Linked DNA regions of Caenorhabditis elegans. The protein of the gene in region 2 interacts with the protein of the main gene of each other region in a pairwise test. Each region holds a gene or a part of one and is shown on either strand. Other genes may lie near its edges. The genes, in order: rpl-32, gip-1, fbxa-11 and R06F6.8.

Evidence for each region.
Region 1: the proteins of gip-1 (region 2) and rpl-32 interact in a two-hybrid assay, tested with the Caenorhabditis elegans proteins (one large-scale study listed by BioGRID).
Region 3: the proteins of gip-1 (region 2) and fbxa-11 interact in a two-hybrid assay, tested with the Caenorhabditis elegans proteins (one large-scale study listed by BioGRID).
Region 4: the proteins of gip-1 (region 2) and R06F6.8 interact in a two-hybrid assay, tested with the Caenorhabditis elegans proteins (one large-scale study listed by BioGRID).

Annotation. Positions count from the first base shown.
Region 1 is NC_003280.10:9,055,985-9,058,841, forward strand, and holds rpl-32 (60S ribosomal protein L32), read right to left. Parts: upstream 1,102-2,857; 5' UTR 1,097-1,101; coding exon 1,020-1,096; intron 928-1,019; coding exon 759-927; intron 709-758; coding exon 550-708; 3' UTR 513-549; downstream 1-512. Other genes in the region: chmp-7 (CHMP7 winged helix domain-containing protein), read left to right, coding at 1-289, 338-460.
Region 2 is NC_003281.10:2,345,931-2,350,631, forward strand, and holds the start of gip-1 (Gamma tubulin complex component protein N-terminal domain-containing protein), read left to right. Parts: upstream 1-1,660; 5' UTR 1,661-1,664; coding exon 1,665-1,737; intron 1,738-2,706; coding exon 2,707-2,799; intron 2,800-2,848; coding exon 2,849-3,106; intron 3,107-4,316; coding exon 4,317-4,521; intron 4,522-4,701. Other genes in the region: phf-5 (PHD finger-like domain-containing protein 5A), read left to right, coding at 484-651.
Region 3 is NC_003281.10:949,009-952,789, forward strand, and holds fbxa-11 (F-box domain-containing protein), read left to right. Parts: upstream 1-1,860; 5' UTR 1,861-1,873; coding exon 1,874-1,944; intron 1,945-2,069; exon of another isoform or gene 2,070-2,155; intron 2,156-2,186; coding exon 2,187-2,808; intron 2,809-2,852; coding exon 2,853-3,047; 3' UTR 3,048-3,256; downstream 3,257-3,781. Other genes in the region: fbxa-67 (F-box domain-containing protein), read right to left, coding at 355-564, 611-1,229, 1,296-1,379, 1,438-1,490; fbxa-10 (F-box domain-containing protein), read left to right, coding at 3,536-3,606.
Region 4 is NC_003280.10:10,813,961-10,821,633, forward strand, and holds the start of R06F6.8 (Guanine nucleotide exchange factor subunit R06F6.8), read right to left. Parts: upstream 6,019-7,673; 5' UTR 5,990-6,018; coding exon 5,978-5,989; intron 5,926-5,977; coding exon 5,785-5,925; intron 5,736-5,784; coding exon 5,625-5,735; intron 5,575-5,624; coding exon 5,113-5,574; intron 5,059-5,112; coding exon 4,967-5,058; intron 4,887-4,966; coding exon 4,349-4,886; intron 4,222-4,348; coding exon 3,929-4,221; intron 3,833-3,928; coding exon 3,541-3,832; intron 2,943-3,540; coding exon 1,960-2,942; intron 1,566-1,959; coding exon 1,340-1,565; intron 1,291-1,339; coding exon 1,173-1,290; intron 1,125-1,172; coding exon 992-1,124; intron 357-991; coding exon 1-356. Other genes in the region: ech-4 (Delta(3),Delta(2)-enoyl-CoA isomerase), read left to right, coding at 7,072-7,124, 7,173-7,673. UniProt on the Caenorhabditis elegans protein: Probable component of a guanine nucleotide exchange factor (GEF) that may be required for efficient fusion of endosome-derived vesicles with the Golgi.

The DNA.
Region 1 (2,857 bases), on a different chromosome or scaffold from region 2:
AGATGTTCAGTATCAGAAACTGCTCACAATGCTTCATCAAATTTCTTCTGCAAAAAACAACAAGGACGTTCTGCAGGCCTATAAATCTGGAACTGCTGCTTTCAAAGCAACATTGGCGAGGCAAGGATTGTCTCCTGATAAAATACACGAGACGATGGACGATGTCGTTAATTCAATGGACGAGTACAAGGAAATCGAAGAAGCAATTTCGTCTCCGTTTGTTAATGCTAATGGATTTAATGATGCCGACTTAGAGCAGGAGTTGGAAGATCTTATCAGTGACAACAAGGTATTTTTAGTACGAACCACAATCATTAAAAAGTTCGTTGTTTTACAGAAAAATGAGTCAGTGCATCTCCCAGAAGCTCCAACCAACAGATTCGGACTTTTCGACAAAGAAGTAACGCCAGAAGAGGATCAATTGGAAAAACGCCTAGCTAGACTCAGACAAGCTATTTGATTCCTTCCATATTATAAATATTTTGCTCTTTTTCATACTTTGAAAATAAAAACGTTTTTCAAAACAAGTTTATAACAAGATCAACAAATTTACTCCGACTCTTCAGTGCGAAGACGAGCGTTTCCGTTCGTCAGCTTGATGTTCAACTGAGCGGCGCGCTCGACGATTCCCTTGCGGCTCTTGGCGGAGACTCCATGTCCGATCTCTCCGATGTACTTGTAGGACTGCATGAGGAGCATGTCCAAATCCTATAAGATTCAAATTTTAAATAACATCAAAAATGTTCATTAAAACTAACCTTAACATTTTGGACGAGAACCTTCTTGTATCCGTTTGGAAGGACGAAGCGGGTTCTTCTGTCGGATCCGTGACCGATGGTTGGCATGGCACGCATACCACGGAAGCGTCTGCGGACACGGTTATCAATTCCCTTTGGCTTACGCCAGCTTGGGGCTACACGACGGTATCTAAAAAAAATTGTATGATTTTGATGTTTGTTAGCATCCATTATTTCTCTGCTTTTCAATTCTAATGAGTAGGTGCTTCAAAAATTATTTACCTGTCGGACTCATGTCTCTTGAACTTGGTGAGCTTCTTCTTGACGACCTTGACCTTGGTTCCGGAAACGTGCACCATTTTACCCGAAAAGAACGAAAATTAAACCACATTTTCAACGACTTTAGCGGATAAAAACAGAGAGATCAATTGAACGCTTAAAAATCAATATGTGAGAACCAAACATTGTGAATACTAGAGAGACTAGCGATAAATTTGCAGTGAATATAAATTTTCCGAAAAAATAATTATCTTGTCCTACTATTGATCGAATTGAAAAATTTGAGGGAGTTTCAGCAGAATTAATGAGTTTTTATCAAAATTTGGAGAATTAATTGGGGAAAAACGAGCAACAAGTCATCAAAAAGTTAGAAAAAAGCGAAAAGATCCCAAAAAAGAATGCAAAAATTGCCAATTTCGCTGCTGAGAAGGTCGTTGGCTGAGTATTCAACGTTTTGTGTGGTGCGCTAGAGCGCACTTGATGCCTCCCACTTTTCTGCAAAAATCCGTGAGTTGTTTTCAGCAGCCGATTAATTGCAATTTAAAACATTTCAGCGATGAGGAAACATTTATAATGTTAAAAATACTTAAAAAATAAAAATGTTCATAATAAAATTAGTATAATTCTTCCCACCAGGGAGTAGGAATACTTTTAAGAGAATACCAGATTTAAAAAGAAATAATTATTCTGAATCGTAAATTTTGAAAGGCTTTTTTTAGAATGTGCAAAAAGCGAAACATCACAAAAAACTTGTCCAACGGGAGTTTTGGGGCTCCAAAACCTGGTAAAAATTATCTATGTCTATCTAATTTTAAATTAGCGCGCAAATTCTTTTACTCCTCTCGGACAATCACACGTACTCCTCTCGGACAAGCAGTACTGTAATTAAATAGTTGATTTTCAGAAAGTTCAGACGATTTTTCATTTTTTAATAAACTTATGCATTTTAATAAACTTATTCGTGTTCATTTATCAAAAAAAAATTTAAATTGCAATCATATGTATTTTATCAATGATAAAATTGAAACAAAACCAAATATTTCGATCATATCCTGGAGGATATAACCCGTTAAAATTTAAAACTCTAAAAATTTGGCAATCTACCAGAACTCAAAATTTCCAACCGAAGTTTTTGTAATTTACCAATTTTTTCTTCATTTTTCAAAACTTAGGGTCGGGGGTCAGATAGCTCATATATGATCAGTCGGTAGTGGTGGCCGCTAGCAATCTGGAGGTCACGAGTTCAAGTTCGGCCTCACCCTCTAGGTTCACCCAGCCTCTATTAATAGATTTATTGGGAAGTGGAGCAATCCACGACTGTATTATCGGCCACAGTCCCCGGCTAGGACGTGGCTTAAATTACAGCCCAGAGGGATCACCACCAGGCAGTGTACCTGAATCCCAGATCCGCAGTGCATAGATCGTCCTTTAATCCTTTAATCAGCCAAGGTTTTGGTAAATTGTAAAATTAAAAATGTTTGGACAATGTTTTGTGAATTACCAATTTTTTGATCTTTTAAAACTAAAGTGGTAAAAACGGAGTTAAAAACTCAATTAATTACAAAATATTTTCCAGTTTTCGAGCTTTTGGCAAAATCAATCCCGAAACTGATTTTGGGATTCGAAACCACTGAACCGTCTGAACCAATTTTTTTCGGTTAAAAAAATTCCTATCGGATCAACTTAATTGTGATGTAGCCCAAGTGGTGAAGTTGCATTAATACTCTTAAAACAATCCAAAATCATCAAATATGATTATAAAACACCACAAAAAAAATTAGATTTTTGAAAACTTAAAGGTGGAATCTGTGAAATATTTTTATTTGTCTCCAAATTTGCCC
Region 2 (4,701 bases):
TTTGGAAAAAGAAAAATATGGAAAAATTCAAATTTTCCACTAAAAATTGACATTATTTGCGGAAATTACCAGCTTTTCGGCGTAAAAAACGCTAAATTTGTCAGTTTTCCGCAAAAAATGCTCGAAAATCCAAAATTTTGTGAAATTTCTCTCAAAAAACGCGTGAAAAACGCTATTCAAAAAAGTGCAATTTTCAGCTTTTTTTTACTAATTTTTTCTTTAAAAAATTCAAATTTTTGACTGGATTTCTTCAAATTCTCCATTAAAAACGGGTTTTTACTCAGAAAAGAGGGGAAAAACCAGGAAAATTGAAAAATTTTCATATTTTTCGACTGAAAAATGCAAAATTTTGTGAAATTTCTCTCAAAAAACGAGTGAAAAACGGCAAAATTTACAAATTTTTCTAAAAAAAAATCGGAAAAACGCGAAATTTTCATGTTTTTTTTCGGCTAAAAATTAAAATTTCCATTTTTTTTTTTGCAGGGTCGGTGTGTGATTTGTGGTGGCGCTGGCGTCAGTGATGCATATTATTGCAAAGAATGCACAATTCTCGAAAAGGATCGTGACGGATGCCCGAAAATTGTGAATTTGGGAAGTGCGAAGACGGATTTGTTCTACGAACGAAAGAAATTCGGATCGAAAAAGTCGTAGAAATTGGCTTTTTGGCGGCGAAAATGAGCGAAAAATCACAAAATTTCGCCGAATTTTCACCTATATCACCTCTAATTTATCAAAAATGTTCCAATTTTCTGTTAATTTCCACTTTTTTCCGCTGAAAATTCCTATTTTTCTTGAAATCTGACTGAAATTTGGCTAAAAATGAGCTGGAAATATCGAAATTTGGCTGAAATCGTAAAATTCCCTTTTTGTTCCCTGAAAATTGAGCAAAAATGTCAAAATTTTGGCATTTTTGACCAAATTTTGCCTATTTTTGTGAAAATTTGCCTTTTTTTTTCGTTGTTTTTATCGAAATTTTGCTGAAATCGCGATTTTTTCCACTATTTTTCCCTAAAACATCCCTTTTTTACTGGAAATTTGGGCAACATTTTGGCATTTTTGCCTATTTTTGTGAAAATGTTACCATTTTATTGAAAAATTAGCTTAAAATGACAATATTTTCCTAAAAATTTCGAATTTCCGTGAAAAATAGCCAAAATGTCACTTATTTCAGTTAAAAATATGCCATTTCCCTGAAATTTGGCTGAAAATTCGCCTATTTTCACTTAAAATTCCGCAAAAAGCCCTTTTTTTCACTCAAAATGTTCAATTTTTCCCTGAAATTTGCCTGAAAAATCGATATTTTCACTCATTTTCACCTTAAAAATTGTCTTTTTCCCCCATTTTTTCCAATTTTCCTCTACCCTTTTATCAATTTTCGAATAAATTATCGATTTTTCTGTAATTTTTCCCTTTTTTTGCTGTGTTGTGCTGGTTTTGTTACCTATTTGTGTATATTTATCTCTATTTTTTACGGGAATTTTCAGTTTTCCCCGAATTTTTCTGAATTAAAATCACTAAAAATCGATTTTTCTTCCTGAAAATTGGGTAATTTTGCGAGAAATTTAATTTTTGTTTAAAAAAAAACTAAAATCTGAATATTTTTTGGAGAAAATTAACCAAAAACTTGAAATTTTATGAAAAAAAAATGGAAAAATTTCAGATAAATGCGTCGACAAGGCAGCGAAGAAGTTGAAGCTGTACAGCAATTTTTAAATGCTTTCGGGTTTCATGATAGAGGTAATTGGATTGAATTTTAGAAGAAAAAACACCGAAAAAGCCGAAAAATTGACTGAAAAATCGAATTTCTGACGAAAAAATGAGATTTTCCATAAAATATCAATAATTTCAAGTAAATATTCGAATTTCGAGGGGTACGGTAGCACCAAAAGTACGCAAACACTGTGGTACACCAAATCTTACGACATTTTGCAGAAAAACTCCTGAAATTATAATAAGAGTTCAGATTTTTTTCATCAAAAGAATATATTGGTGGCCGAACTCCTTGGATTTTTTTAGGCCACGATTTTCTGAGCCAAAAATTTTATTTTGAATTTTTCGTTCAAATCTCGTTTTTTACTAGAGAAACTCCAATTTCGGCTTTTTTTCTCTTGGTTGCCTAACTTTTTTTTTAGATTTCTAGGCCACCCATTAAAAATAGACCGTTTTATTTGATTTTCTACATAAAAACGGGGATTTTGAATTTTGAATAATTCAAATTTTAAAACCAAAATTTTAATTTTAAGTCTTTTTTTTTTTTGAGATATTTGAAATTTTCTAGACGGTTTTTTGGTGATGAATCGGTTTTTATTAGAATTTCAACTATAAAAACCGAATTCTAGTCAGTTTTTGGATTTAAAATCAATTGGTGGCCGAACTTGTTGGATTTCTAGGCTACCAAACTTCTGAACATTTTCCCCTGTGACTCTTGTGCCTCTATTCGTATTGATTGCAGTAAAAACGGGTATTTATTCACATTTTTAGCCTTAAATTGGCTTAAAATGTGAATAAATACCGTATTTCTGCAAACAATTTGACAATAGAGCACATTTGTCACTTGGAGATGCGGAAGCTATGCCCAAATTTTCATTTTCAAGCCGAAAAACTTGTGAATTTTCGCGATTTTTGCACAAAAAAAACCATTTTCAGCCGATTTTTCCGTAGAAAAACGGATTTTTAATCAAAATTTTGCAATTTTCTGTATTTCAGATGTGATAAAAGTTCAAGAAGGGCTATTCCACAGCCGTCAGCTCAACGATGTGAACGCTTCGAGAACATGTGTAGATCAATTTGTTAAGAAATGTATGAAATTCCAGGGAAAAAACCAAAAAAAAAAGCGGCAGTTTTCCAGGCGAACTTCGTGATCCGAACGGAATAAAACCGCTTCGCAAAAAAATCGATGCTCTGATGAACGAATCGGTAGAAATGAATTATATGATGGATTTTCTTGTGAGATGTCGACAGGCTCACTTATTTCATAATGAAACAATAAGAAATAGTCCGAGTATTGGTCTGGGATCCATTGGAGGTACCCCGACCAATTCGATTCCATCCTCATCGCCGTTTCAAAGAAGATCTGCAAGTCGTGGACGGGTGCTCAGCACGCTGAGTTCGGTGTTTTACCGGTTTTAGCCGCGAAAAATTGTGAAAAAACGGAGCAAATATCACTGAAAAGTCGATAATTTATTTGAAAATTGACATTTATTTTCATTAAAAATTCGAAAAATTAGACATTTTCGGTCAAATTTGACCTGAATTTTATAAAAATATTTTTTTTCTCCTTAAAAGTTGAAGATTGTGCTTATTTTTGTTCGATTTTCGAGAAAAAATGCTGAAATAAAACCTACAAAAATGTGGAAAATTGAAAAAAAAAAGTTTTTTTTTTCATTAATTTTCAATAGAAAAAAAAACGAAATTTTTGCCATGATTAAGTGGCCGAACTTTTTGGATTTCTAGGCCACCAGTCGGAAAACTCGGATTTTTAGAAATTTTTTATTAAATTTCTAATTCTCAAGCAACAATTATTGCGTTTTTTTTCATTAATTTTTTTTTAATTTTTGAGGCTTTTTTTTGGCGAAGAGTCGCTTTTTAATCGAATTTTGAATATAAAAACTGAATTCTATGTGGTTTTTGGATTTAAAATCATTCGGTGGCCGAACTCTTTGGATTTCTAGGCCACAAAATTTTTGAACTATTTTCCCCTGTGACTTATGTGCCTCTACTCGTTTTTTTTTGTTTGCACTAAAAACTGTATTTATTCACATTTTCATCCTCAAATTGGGCTGAAAATGTGAATAAATACCGTATTTCTGCCAACAATTTGACAATAGAGCACATTTGTCACTCGGAGATGCGGAAGCTATGCCCAAATTTTCATTTTTCACCCGATTTTTAGCATATTTTTGGGGTTTTGATGGATTTTAAGTGTTGAAATCGGTTTCAGCTAAGAAATTTTCGGTGACCGATCTTTATGGAATTCTAGGCCACCAAGCTGATTTTGAGCCAAAAAGCTATGCTCAAATTTTTATTTTCGCAATAAGATTTGCAATTTTCCATAGAATCATTCCACAAAAATCAAATTTTGAGCAAATCCCCAAACACTGTGGCCTAACTTTTTGCAAGTTTTTAGGCCACCCATTAGAACTTTGGCGTTTTTTCTCGAATTTTCTACAAATTTCTATGTAAAAATGTATTGAAATTGAGAAAAACTACAAATTCAAGCCTATTTTCGCTTTAAAAATCATGAAAAATCATTTTTTTTTAATTGGAAATTCACAGAAAATTGGCGAATTTTTCCATAAAACTAGTGAATTTTCCAGCCGGAGACCAACAAACTCCATCAATTGCCGATTCATCGTCTCGTTCTCGTGCCAATTCCTCATTTACTGCCTATGACAATCGAATGCTTGGAATGGAACGCCAATTGGCTGGAAATATGGCTCAACGGCCACGGAGTCCGTATACAATTAATGGAATACCAACTACGAGGGTTCAGCCGATTAGCGCCAGCAATCAGCTTTTTACGTGCGTAATTTTCGAGAAAATTTGAGGAAATTTGGTTGAAAATACCGAATTCACCGCTAATTTTCACCCCTAGCACACTTTTTCCGGGTTACTGTAGCTTTAAAAGTACGCCAACACCAGATCTAACGACATTTTTCAGAAAATCGCGAAAAAATGAGTTTTTGTGATTAAAAATGGCTC
Region 3 (3,781 bases), 1.4 Mb from region 2:
GACAACTTCATTGGGCGCGTGATAACAAAAAAACCTTTGGTCCAAAAAATTTATAATTTAATTTCGGACATTCTTTATATGCATCACAAAAAAACTGGACCAACCGATTTGAGATCCACGCACCCAAACGTTTAGGTATACGGTACAGGTACCACTTCTCAGGCCGTGGATGAGGCTAGACGACATGCCTATTGACTGCCTATTAACTGTTTTGCAGGGCGACTGGTGGTTGCCCTTTCTCACTTCTTTTGCTTATCTTCTTGCATTAAAATCATATTTAGCTAAATCTAAATTTAGATTTTTTATTAATCAATTTTTGACAGGAAATTAAATGACTTTCGAAATTAATGTTTTTCACAATTTGTGCATGTCAAACCGAGAACTAGAATTCCTAAAAGAATTGAATTGAATTTTAAAGTTTGCATTATCGTTTGAGTAGTCAATTTCAAACTCATTGCCGCCATCATAGTCCGGTTTGAACACTTTTGCAATTTCAATTGGATTTGACTTTGATGTGTCACAATATATCTGGCAACCTTGAAATGTACTTCTTCTCATTAGATCCTGAAAACATTTGATCATCAATTAAAACGCTTTAATTGTAACTTACATCTCTAATTTTGATTGCAATATATGTTGGAAAGTCGTCCAGTTGGATCTGGAACCATTGAAAGTGGAACAGATGGTCAATTAGTTTATTTTCAAGCTTATCACCAAACAGACTGCATTTTTTCGCACATTTCCATTGATCCAGATGAGCAATATTTTCAAACTGCCTGTTTATGTGAGTATCCCACAATGCAATGCTTTCCAGAACTTTGGTGTTACAATACTGGAGAATAGTGATGACATCATTGAATGAGAAATTGACAAGTTTTATTGTCTTCACGTGAATACATTTAACTGATTTCAAAATTTCAATAAATGATTTGATAATCTCGTGTTCATTGTGCTCGTTAGAAATTCTTAATTCCGATGTGTGCTTCAATACTGTTTTTAAATCTTGGAATGCTATTTTCATAGAACTTGCTCCTTCGATAGGTGTTTCTTGATTTTCGTCCTTTCTCACAGTTGAACCTCCGTTTTCTGCATCGGTGTATCTGATGTGAAATCCGTCCATCCCCAATTCGAAGGCATTCTTCCATATGTGAAAAATGATGTAATTAAAATGAATTCCAAATCTATCAACACAAGTTCGCAAGTTTCTACACACTTTACGGATTTTCAAACTGCAAGAAAAAACTTTTTTTTCAACTGGGAAACTTTGAAAATATATTTTTAAAAAAACAACTCACCGATCCATGGGCTCCAACTTTTCCAAAACTTGATCGACGATATTTATTGGCATATTGTAAAGCGTCGGGGATATTGGGCCGAAACTGAAAAACAAAACCATTTTTCAAAAATTTCCTTTTTTCAAATTCATTTTTTCATTACCTTCTATGGATCCTCGCCAGTTCATGTTGAGCATCTCGGTTGGAATCAGACATTTTCGGAAATTTATCCGAAAATTCCAAGGTTTACAACTGAACAATCCAATTTGAGAAAATAACTTGTGTATGACACAATGAAATGCACAGAATCAAATAAAAAATTAAGGAATAGCAAGCGTTTATCAGTTCAAACAAGTCTGCAATTTGTCGTCAAATCATGCGCCTGCGTACACTTTCTTTGCTGGCAAAAGGAGAATGATTTGAATTGAAACGTTAATGTTTTAGACCTAGCAATATTATTTTCGAAGCCTAAAAATGAGAATTTGTAGTAGCGAAATAAACATTTACCAGTTTTTTTTTCTTTTTTTCTCCCATTAGCATTTTTTCTCTCCCAGCTGTTCTACGTTTACCCTATAAATTTTTGCAGGCAAATTTCAAAAATGTCTACTTTGCTGGATATGCCTGTAGAAATAGGCAAACTAGTTTTGAAACGCATGAAGCCCGTGGAACGGTGAATTTTTTCAGTGGGTTTTCAAAAATACATAAATAGAAGTTTAGGAAGCCTCACGGACTCTCTCTCTACTTTCTTGTTCCCTTTAAGCCTAAGCCTAACTTAAGCTTCAGTCCAAGCCCGAGCTAAGCCTAAGTCTAAGCCTAAGCCTAAGCCCGAATTTAAGCCTAAGCATAAGCCTAATCCTGAGCCTAAGCCTAAGGCTAAGCCTGTAGTTTTCAAATAATTTTTTATAATTTCAGACTGGTCTGCCGAAAAGTGTGTAGAAGCTTGAGAACCGCGGTGGACAGTTTTGGAATTCGCTTCAATAGTGTTTCAGTGGATTTGTATGATGATTATGTTTTAATGGACTTGAACGGATTAAGCATCAAATACAAAAGTGAAGAAAATGGGACCTCTGCTGTATATTGCAATGGGAAACGTATTGCCAGGGAAGAAGATTATTTGAAAGTAGCGTTCGAGGATTTAATGGCAGTAATGGACCAAACCTCACAATTGTGCTTCAGAAACAAAAGAAAAGAGCTTCTCAACAGCATAACCTCCGTTACAGACATTTTGAAAAATAAAGAAAATCTCTGCGTGAAGGAAATATTACTTAACACATTTTCATTTGATGATGCCTTGCTTATTCTTCCGTGTTTCAATGCTCAAGTCCTGGAAAGTATCGAGTTATGGGAAGCTGCTCCGATTGACCATTGTGAACGGCTCACCGGCTTGGACCAGTGGAAAAATGCGAAACGTTTCCGAACTCACGATTCTCGGTTCCAGAATGAAAAATTGCAAATTGGACAGTTGTTTCATTTTGAAAAGTTTCAAGTCGAATTTGATAATTTCTCAATTCTAGACGTTACGAAAGTCAAAGAGGTAAGTTTTTAAGTTTTAAGTTTTGAAAAAAAATTGACTTTCAGGATCTCTTGAAAAGAAGCGAATTCAAAGAATGCTCTCTCATAATTGGTAGGTTCGATTCAACGCCGTTCAAAATTGCACAATTATTCAAGCCGGATGTTGCTGAAGACATGAAATATGAAATCAAATATTCCGTGGATAATAAAATATTCGTGATTTTTATTAATAGACAAGTGTTCTGCTGTGAGCTTATGTAACCTTTTCCCCAAATTTTTTTATATTACGAATCTCATAATTATCAAAACACCCACATTCCACACTTTCCTGGCAAAATATTTGATCCGATCCTCTTTTCCTCACTATCACTGAAAACCTTTTATTAAAAAAATCGCGTTTTTTTCTCCACTCGCATTTTTCCATTAACTTGTATTTTTCCATAAGTTTATTCATAAAATCTTCGCTTTTTATTTGCTTTTTCCATTATACACTACATTATACATTATACACAAAAAACTAATATTTCAATAAGAAAGAATAAAATTCGTTATTTTTGAGATGTCGTCAACTCAAGTGCCGAGTACGCAATAACACAAAACGTGACGACACAATGCACAATATGGGAATTTTATAGCTTTCTTACCAGGAATGGGCAGCAATTTCTGTTTTGGCAATTGTCGAGTTAGCGAAACAAGTTTCAAAATTTTGAAAATTTTACTGTTTCTAAAATTCCAGATATACTTCAAAAATGCCTGAATTGTTGGATATGCCTTTGGCATTGGTTAACCAAATTCTGGAAAAGTTGGATCCCGAGGACCTGTGAGTTGTTTAATCTATTTTTCTGTAGTTTTCGGAAGCTTCACAAAATCTTTCTACTTTAAAAAAACTTTTAGTAATTGATTTTATTTCTTTAGAAGTTCGAGCCCCGTGGGCCAGGCTAAGCCTAAGCCTAGGTCTTAAAGGGGGCTTAGGTAAGCCTAGGCTTAGGCCTAAG
Region 4 (7,673 bases), on a different chromosome or scaffold from region 2:
CCAATGGAGCATGATGATTCATTGAAGAAGATGTCGATGGGGATCTATCGATTACTGGTGCCAGTTCCACAGCACTTCCACGTACTCTTTCCAGCACGGCTTCTTGAATCTCAACGTCTTCTTCGCTAGCTTCAATATCCGTTTCACGAATTCTCGATCTAGCTCCATTTAAATCAACTACAGTCCTTTCCAATTTTCTGGCTTTAGGCTTCTTTATATTATCCAATGAGTCATTTAGTAGTCCATTCAAGCTTGCAGTACTCTGGCTGACACGAATATTTCCAAGCTTCTTCTCAATTTGATGCACGAATTGAGAACCGATGAGAGGATATGGCCACGAGAATTGAGCATGGAGTCTGAAAATTTTTGAAATTAGAGTTTTTTATATTAAAAATATTCCCAATTTTTATTGAAAATCGACAAAATCGAAGGAATATTCAAAATTTCCGATAGTTTTTCAATAATTTTTTCTCATCAAAATTTACATTTTTCTGGTTAATATTTAGCTTCTGGGTTTTTCTCATATATTTTTACAACGCTTAAAATTTTTTTTAATTTTTCGATTTTCAAAATTTCAGTTTTTTTTTTTTGAAAGATAAAATTTGCATTTTTTTCCAATAATTTTAGATTTTAAAAATTCCCCCAAAAAATGTTTCGTGTTTTTTCTTTAATTATTATTTTTTACAGAAAATGTAACAATTCAGAAATTTAAAAATAAACTTAAATTTTCGAGTTTTCCAATTTTTCCGAGAATTTAAAAATTAAAAAAAAAACGGGAAATTTAAAATCAAAAATTTTTTTTCCGTATAATGTATCATTTTTCTGAAAAACACGAAAAATCGGAATAATTAAAAATTTAAATTTTTTAGTATTAAATTTCAAGTTTTTTTTTCGATTTTCAGATTCTCGAAAAAACTGGAAAACTCGAAAATTTAAGTTTATTTTTAAATTTCTGAATTATTACATTTTCAGTGGAAGAATCCCAATTTACCTTGTAAGTGCCAAGGCAAAATCTTCAATCAAAAAGCAATTTTCGTTTGTAGTTTTCGGTGAAAGAGAAATTTGTTTCCGTCGCGTCTCCAAAAGACCGAGCAAATCGAATTGAAGTTCGGACCAGAAGAATCCTGAAAAAAATTGAATCCAAATTGTCCTGAATTTTTTTTTCCAATTACCAAGATCTAGAAGCCAATAATTATTCAGCAAATGCCACGCGTGATCTTCTAGAATTGATGTCATTTTTGCGGCGAGTCGATTCGTAGCCAATTGTGGAGAAAGTTCACCAGATAGGCCCTGAAATTAGATTTTATAAAAATAAAAATTTCCAGTAAAACACACAAACCCAAGACAACGCCATTTTATCCTTTGAACTTCCGCCAATCGAATCTTTTCTCGGTGCATCTTTTTGCTCAGTACTCTGTGAATGTCGAACTTTATTTAATCTTCCTCCAGCAGCTCCCGCTTGAAATCTATTAATCACGAATTCAGTGGAAGAATCAGCGGACGGTGAGGATACTGTAGGTCGGCGGGATAGAGAAGTCTTGGCACTTGGTGGAGGTGTTCTGAAACTTTTTAAAAATTAAAACAATTGCAAAGTTATTATCAAATTTTATTTTTGTTTGCTTAAAAACTACGGTAGCCGGTCTCGACACGGCCAATTTTTCAAATGCAAATGTGTGGATTACGGTATCTAATAATTCGTTGTTGCGAATTCAACTTAGTTTCGGTCATTATTCTATTTCTGAACACATTTAATTATTTTTCAAAGTGGGTGCCGATTCTGTGGATCGTAGCGTGAAACGGATACGATAACAACGGTGACCTTGATTCTGAATACCTCGCTTGATAAAAGGAGAGTTACGGATGTAGGGCACATGTATTCTGGGAATCTTTTTTCCGTGCGTTCTCTTTTTGGAGGCATTCTTTTTTAATTTCTCTATTAATGAATTCATTAATTCTTACAATGCATCAATATCCTCCGAACCAATAGATCTTGCAAATCTGACCATTTCCTTCGCAATCGTCCATTTTTTCTCTTCTAATGCTTCCTTCACAAGTCTCGCTGCTTGATCCATACTCACTTCGGTGGTTTCAAGATTTTGCAGGACAATCACGAAACTTGCAGCATTTTCGAGTTGTTTCAGTTGTAGACATTCTTCGAATAGTGCATTTGGAGATCCTGTGACATCAAATAACGTTCTCCAAAGTGCCAATTCAGTTTTTCGTGCACAATGTGCTACGGTTTTCAGAAATTCTGGAAATTCGTGAATAAAAGCTACACATCTTGGGAGAAGAGGATCTGGAATTGGTTCACTACTTGTAGCTTCTTCTTCAAGGACTCCATGGAGCAAAAGCTCAAGAGCATGCGTGAAATGTGGAAGAGAACGACAGGCTCCGGCGAGCTCCAAAGCAAAAACTCCAAGATTTCGCTTCAAAAGTTGTCGGAGCAGGTGATGCACAAATACTTCACTATTGCGATGAAGTCCATACATAGTGATACTTTCCATTTGTCCTTGATTTCTTGAAGCTCTTGCAACATGTTGTAGTTGACTCTCGACACCCATTGCAAGACAATCTTTGGCACTAATCACAATTGGATAGATATCAAGTTCAAATGGAAGCATTATTCGTTTCGCGATAAACGTCATTTCCTGTGTGGCTAAATTTCGTTTTCCTGGCACCAACGGCATCCAAACTTTGATTCCTTTTGCACCACAAGCAATCCATAAAGCATTACTCAAATGTGAAGAACATGATTGATTCATTGGAGATGATGGTTCTGAAGTTGTTGATGTGGAAACACTTTGGATTGAAACATTTGATCCATTTCGCCGATGGTTCTTCCATGGAAGATCTTGATTTTGAGACTGGGTTGATTGGGAGACTTGACAACGGTCATGCCACATTTTTTCCACGTATGACGCGATTACCATGGGTTGATGGAGCTGTAAATTTTATTTTAATATTGTATTTCCGAATTCCAAAAATTTCTAATTTAAAAACCAAACATTTCAGAAATCCCAAAACTTCCAAAATTCCAGAAAATTCAAATAGTCTAAATTTGAATCATTTCACAAATTCAAAACTTTAAAAAATCCGAAAATTAAAAAGAAACTGAATTTTGCAAAATTCCAAAATTGAAAAATTCTGAAAATTGAAAAAAATTAGTTTAACCGAGTTAACCGAGTATTTAGGAAAAAGGAAAAATTTTTCATGTTTTAAAAATACTGAAATTCAAAATGTTGAAAAATCTAGGAACGGAAAAATTTTGAAATTTCTAAAAATTGAAAATTATTAAATTTCGAAACAAAAAATTCAATTCCAAAATATTTTAATTTTTTTTAAATTCCAGAAAACCCAAAAATTCGAAAACTCTAGAAGTTCTGAAAATTCAAAAAATTCAGAATGTTTTAAAAATTTCTGAAATACCAAAAATTGGACAAGAATATAAAATTTAAAAATTCCAAAAATTCTAAATATTCATCAAATTTTGCAAAATTCTGGAAACTCAGAAACCATGCAATTTTAATTTTCCGTACAAACCTTTCCATCCTCATTAACACTCAAAGTGATCAATCTTCCCGAAATATTAACCAGCACAGTATCGATACTTGAATAAAATGCAGGTGACAACTTCCCCCGTACATCCAGATTCAGCTGTGTCATTTGAAGAGATACAATACATGTTGGATGTGGAACAATTTCGTTGATTCGAATAACAGTCACAATTTCAGTGGAGACTTTTGTAAAAGCATCTCGTCCAGTTTCCAAGTGAGCCGTGAGCTTATAAAGCGTAATTTGAGCCGATATATCGAATACTGCACAAACGTCGTCGCTGGAAAAATTGGGAAAATATTAATGTCACTGAATCTAGAATAATTCCAAAAAAACTGATAATGAGAGTTCATTTCCAAGATTGAATATTTCTTACCGTAACACGGACATGACCGATTTATGCTCCAAATCCACAACCGACGCATATCGACTGTCAAGTCTCTGAGAAATTGGATAAAATGAGAGATGGGACTTGTCAGTATCCGCAGCAACTCCAACAACTCCAATGACGTCATCATTCCAAATAAAGACACCTCCAGTGACCAAGAGATTCTTCTCTTGAGTCTCATTTCCAAAAATCTTCCAACGTCGATTGGATAATGAACAATATGCCATTCCTTGATCACCGGCCACGACGAGATGTTTATAGTTTCGATCAGTTGATGCATACTGAAAACATATTAAATTTTAACATTTTATTTTAATAAACTCTATCGGAAAATACCTACGTGCCTACATGCCTACCTCATGGTTTTACCAAATTTATGCTTTTAGTTTTTACTTTTAAAAAACTCACTCTCAGTGGCCAATTAGATGATAGATATTCATGTGTAACTGTAATATGATCCCATACAGAATGCGGTGCACAAGCTTCTGCTTCTCGATCCCTTGCAGCACTGATCAAAACCTGCGAGTCACTCATCAATACAGCTCTATCACAATGTTCCATTGCCGGGCTTGAACATGAAGCACTCCTCACGAATGGTTGCATCATAAGCTCATTTTCAGTTCCAAGCCACAGTTGGAAACCTTCTGGACCCCATTCAATAGCCGTGTATCTATCATTTTGATCTTCTTCGACGACACCTTCCAGATTGCAAAATGATTGAGCTCCGAATGAAGTGAAAACTGCGACGAGCCGAGGAAGAGCATGAGCTCCGGATAGTGGAGACCAAATTGCACCGAATCCGTATCCATTCGCGAGGGCTGTTATTCGGTGAACCGGACCCAGTCGATTCGTCAAGTCAGGACCATTTGTTACTTTTGGAGCAACTCGGAACGATTGAACGAGTGAGCCATTTAGTTCATCGATGTTATAGGCACAAACGTCGCCGCTGGAAATAGTTTAGATTAAAAAGAAAACTGTGCGTTTGATTTTTGAAAATTAAAATCTGAAAAATCTGAAAAAACTCACTTTTTACATCCAAAAAGAATCAGAAGGAACTTGTGATTCACATCGCAACACGTGGCATCTTTCATATTCGGAGCCCACACTCCCAGAATTGCCTGGAATAATAAAAAATGGGTTTTTTTTTTAATTTTTCATGATAAAAATCTCACATTAGGTGCAAAATTCGGATCATTCGACGTCAATAGAGCACCTTGACCATCGGAAAGTACAATCGCAAATCCTCCGAGAAGTGGAGCATACACGGCGTCAAAGATATACGTGGATTTTGAAGTAATATTTTCAGATTTCGACTGAAGTTGATCCACGGAGAACGGAATTGAACTGGCACGGAATGAGAGGCTTGCAATAATCTCTCCAGTCCAAGTGACATGATGAGTGAATCCATTTTGAAGGCAAACAAGAAATTCATCACGAGAAGGAACACAACATGTTGGTATATCAGCCAGATTTATGATTATTGTTGGATGAAGATGAGCTGTCGGTCGAGATCCTTTTATAAAAAGTTCCGGTGAGTTTCGTTGGAAATATGGATCCGCAGAGTCTGTGAAATTGTAGCATTGTTCATCGTCTCGCAAATCTAGATTATAGATTAAAATTTTGCATTGATTTGTCTGAAAAATATAATATTTTCAAAGAAAGAACTGTAAAATTTAAATATTACCGTTACAGCTATACTTGTTGAGTCAGGTTTCCAGTAAATTTCTTTTAATTCTCCACGTGTTTCTTTGAAATTGGCATCGATAACCCCGACGGAGCACAGGAGCAGTTGGGGCTGAATTTATGTTTTTTTAATCAGATTTTTATTAGTTTTCAGCACTAACATTTGCCAGCCAAATGTAAATCGCATCATTTGTTGCGACTGCTATCAATCTTCGATCTCGATTTGCCACAATTGACTTGATATCGGCGGCAGTCGAATCCTTTTCATGCTTCGGAAGCTGGAGAACCGATGGCCTGTCATTCTGGAATTTTCAAAAATTATTTTTTATTAAAAAAATTCTAAAGGAAACTTACAGGTATGAACATTCTATGCCAGATCCATCAAATGTTGTATTCTGTTGAAAAATATTAATTATTCGGGGGAAAACGGTTTTTTGCGATTAAAAGCTCAGTAATAAAGAAGCGCGTTCAATTTTTAGCAGATTCAATTCGACATCTTGATTTAAAAATTAGGAGATTGATTTTATTTTGTATTTGGAACGCAAAAACGTTTCAAACAGAATAAAAAGGCCTCCAGCTGTGAATATTTTTCAAGAGCAATCGCGCTCGGTTGCCACGCGTTAGAGGGCAGAGACGCAGACTTTTCAAAAATTTCAGGCGTTCAGGATTGCGTGGATGAAAATGATTTCACTCGAAAAATAACAAATTCATATTTAAATAATAAAATTAACACCAAAAAAAAAAGAATTAACAAAAAAAAACAACAAAACAATTGAATCAGAGTACTGTAGACAAAGTATTGTGCATTTTGTAGTTGCCGTGAACAAGGGTGTCAATTCCCGTGTCCCGTTTGTCCCGTTGTCCCGTTTTTGGGGTGTTTTCACGGGAACGGGAATTCTGTTGTCCCGTTTTTAAAATTTTCACGGGAACGAGAATTCCCGTTGTCCCGTTTTTGTAATTTTTACAGGACACTGACACCCTTGGCCGTGAACGTCCTTTGTCTGCAAATTTTATTGATTTTATTTATCAGTTTTCTGATTTCTCCTAGGAGGGGATTTCTCCTAGGACTCCTAGGGATTATAATTTGATTTTCACTGTTTTTTCTAATATTAAAATCTTAATTTCCAGGTTATCTATACAATTTGAGCTCTCTTTTAAAAAAATTGAAACTCCAAATTTTCCTGAATCTATTATTTATCCCATTTATAATTGCTCCACTATTGTCTTGCGTATAGTAGCGATTGTCCAGCTACACATTACAATGTGTATTCTTGTGTGTAGCCAGTTCATTCAAAACAACAAAAAGACGGCGGCCGTTCTTATCATTTACCCGGCCCCTCCGTGTACCTTGTTCTTTTCTTCACGTTGTCCATTTTCTTTCTTTTTTTCTCTTTTCCCCGAAAAAATTAATTATAACGTTTAAAAAATCAATTTTAATTCATTTCAGAATGCTTCGAAATCTCACCCTCGCCGCTAGAAGTGTTCTCTACAATCCGCAAGTGTAAGTCTGCAAAAATCATCTAATTTGTGAATAAATCTTCAATTTCAGTTCCGTTCGCTCGTTCTCTGCCCAGGCTGACTTCGAGAAGGCGCAGAAAAATCTGAAAACTCTGAAGGAAGAGCCGGACAATGACGTGAAACTGCAGCTCTACGGGCTTTTCAAACAAGCCACCGCTGGGGATGTGCAAGGAAAACGCCCGGGAATGATGGATTTCGTTGGAAGAGCCAAGTATGATGCCTGGAATACTTTGAAGGGACAAACTCAGGATGAAGCTCGCGCCAACTATGCTAAACTGGTCGGTGGACTCATTTCCGAAGAAGCTTCTGCTGCTCCAGAACCAACTGGGCCATCAATCGAAGGACTTGAGAACGTTGACGGTTTAAGTGTGACTCGCGAGGGAAAAGTGTTCAAAATCGCATTGAATAGACCAAAGAAGTTCAACGCATTGACATTGGAAATGTATCAAGGAATTCAAAAGGCACTGGAGGTCTCCAACAATGACAAGAGCACCTCAATCACTGTGATTACTGCCAATGGATCATATTACTG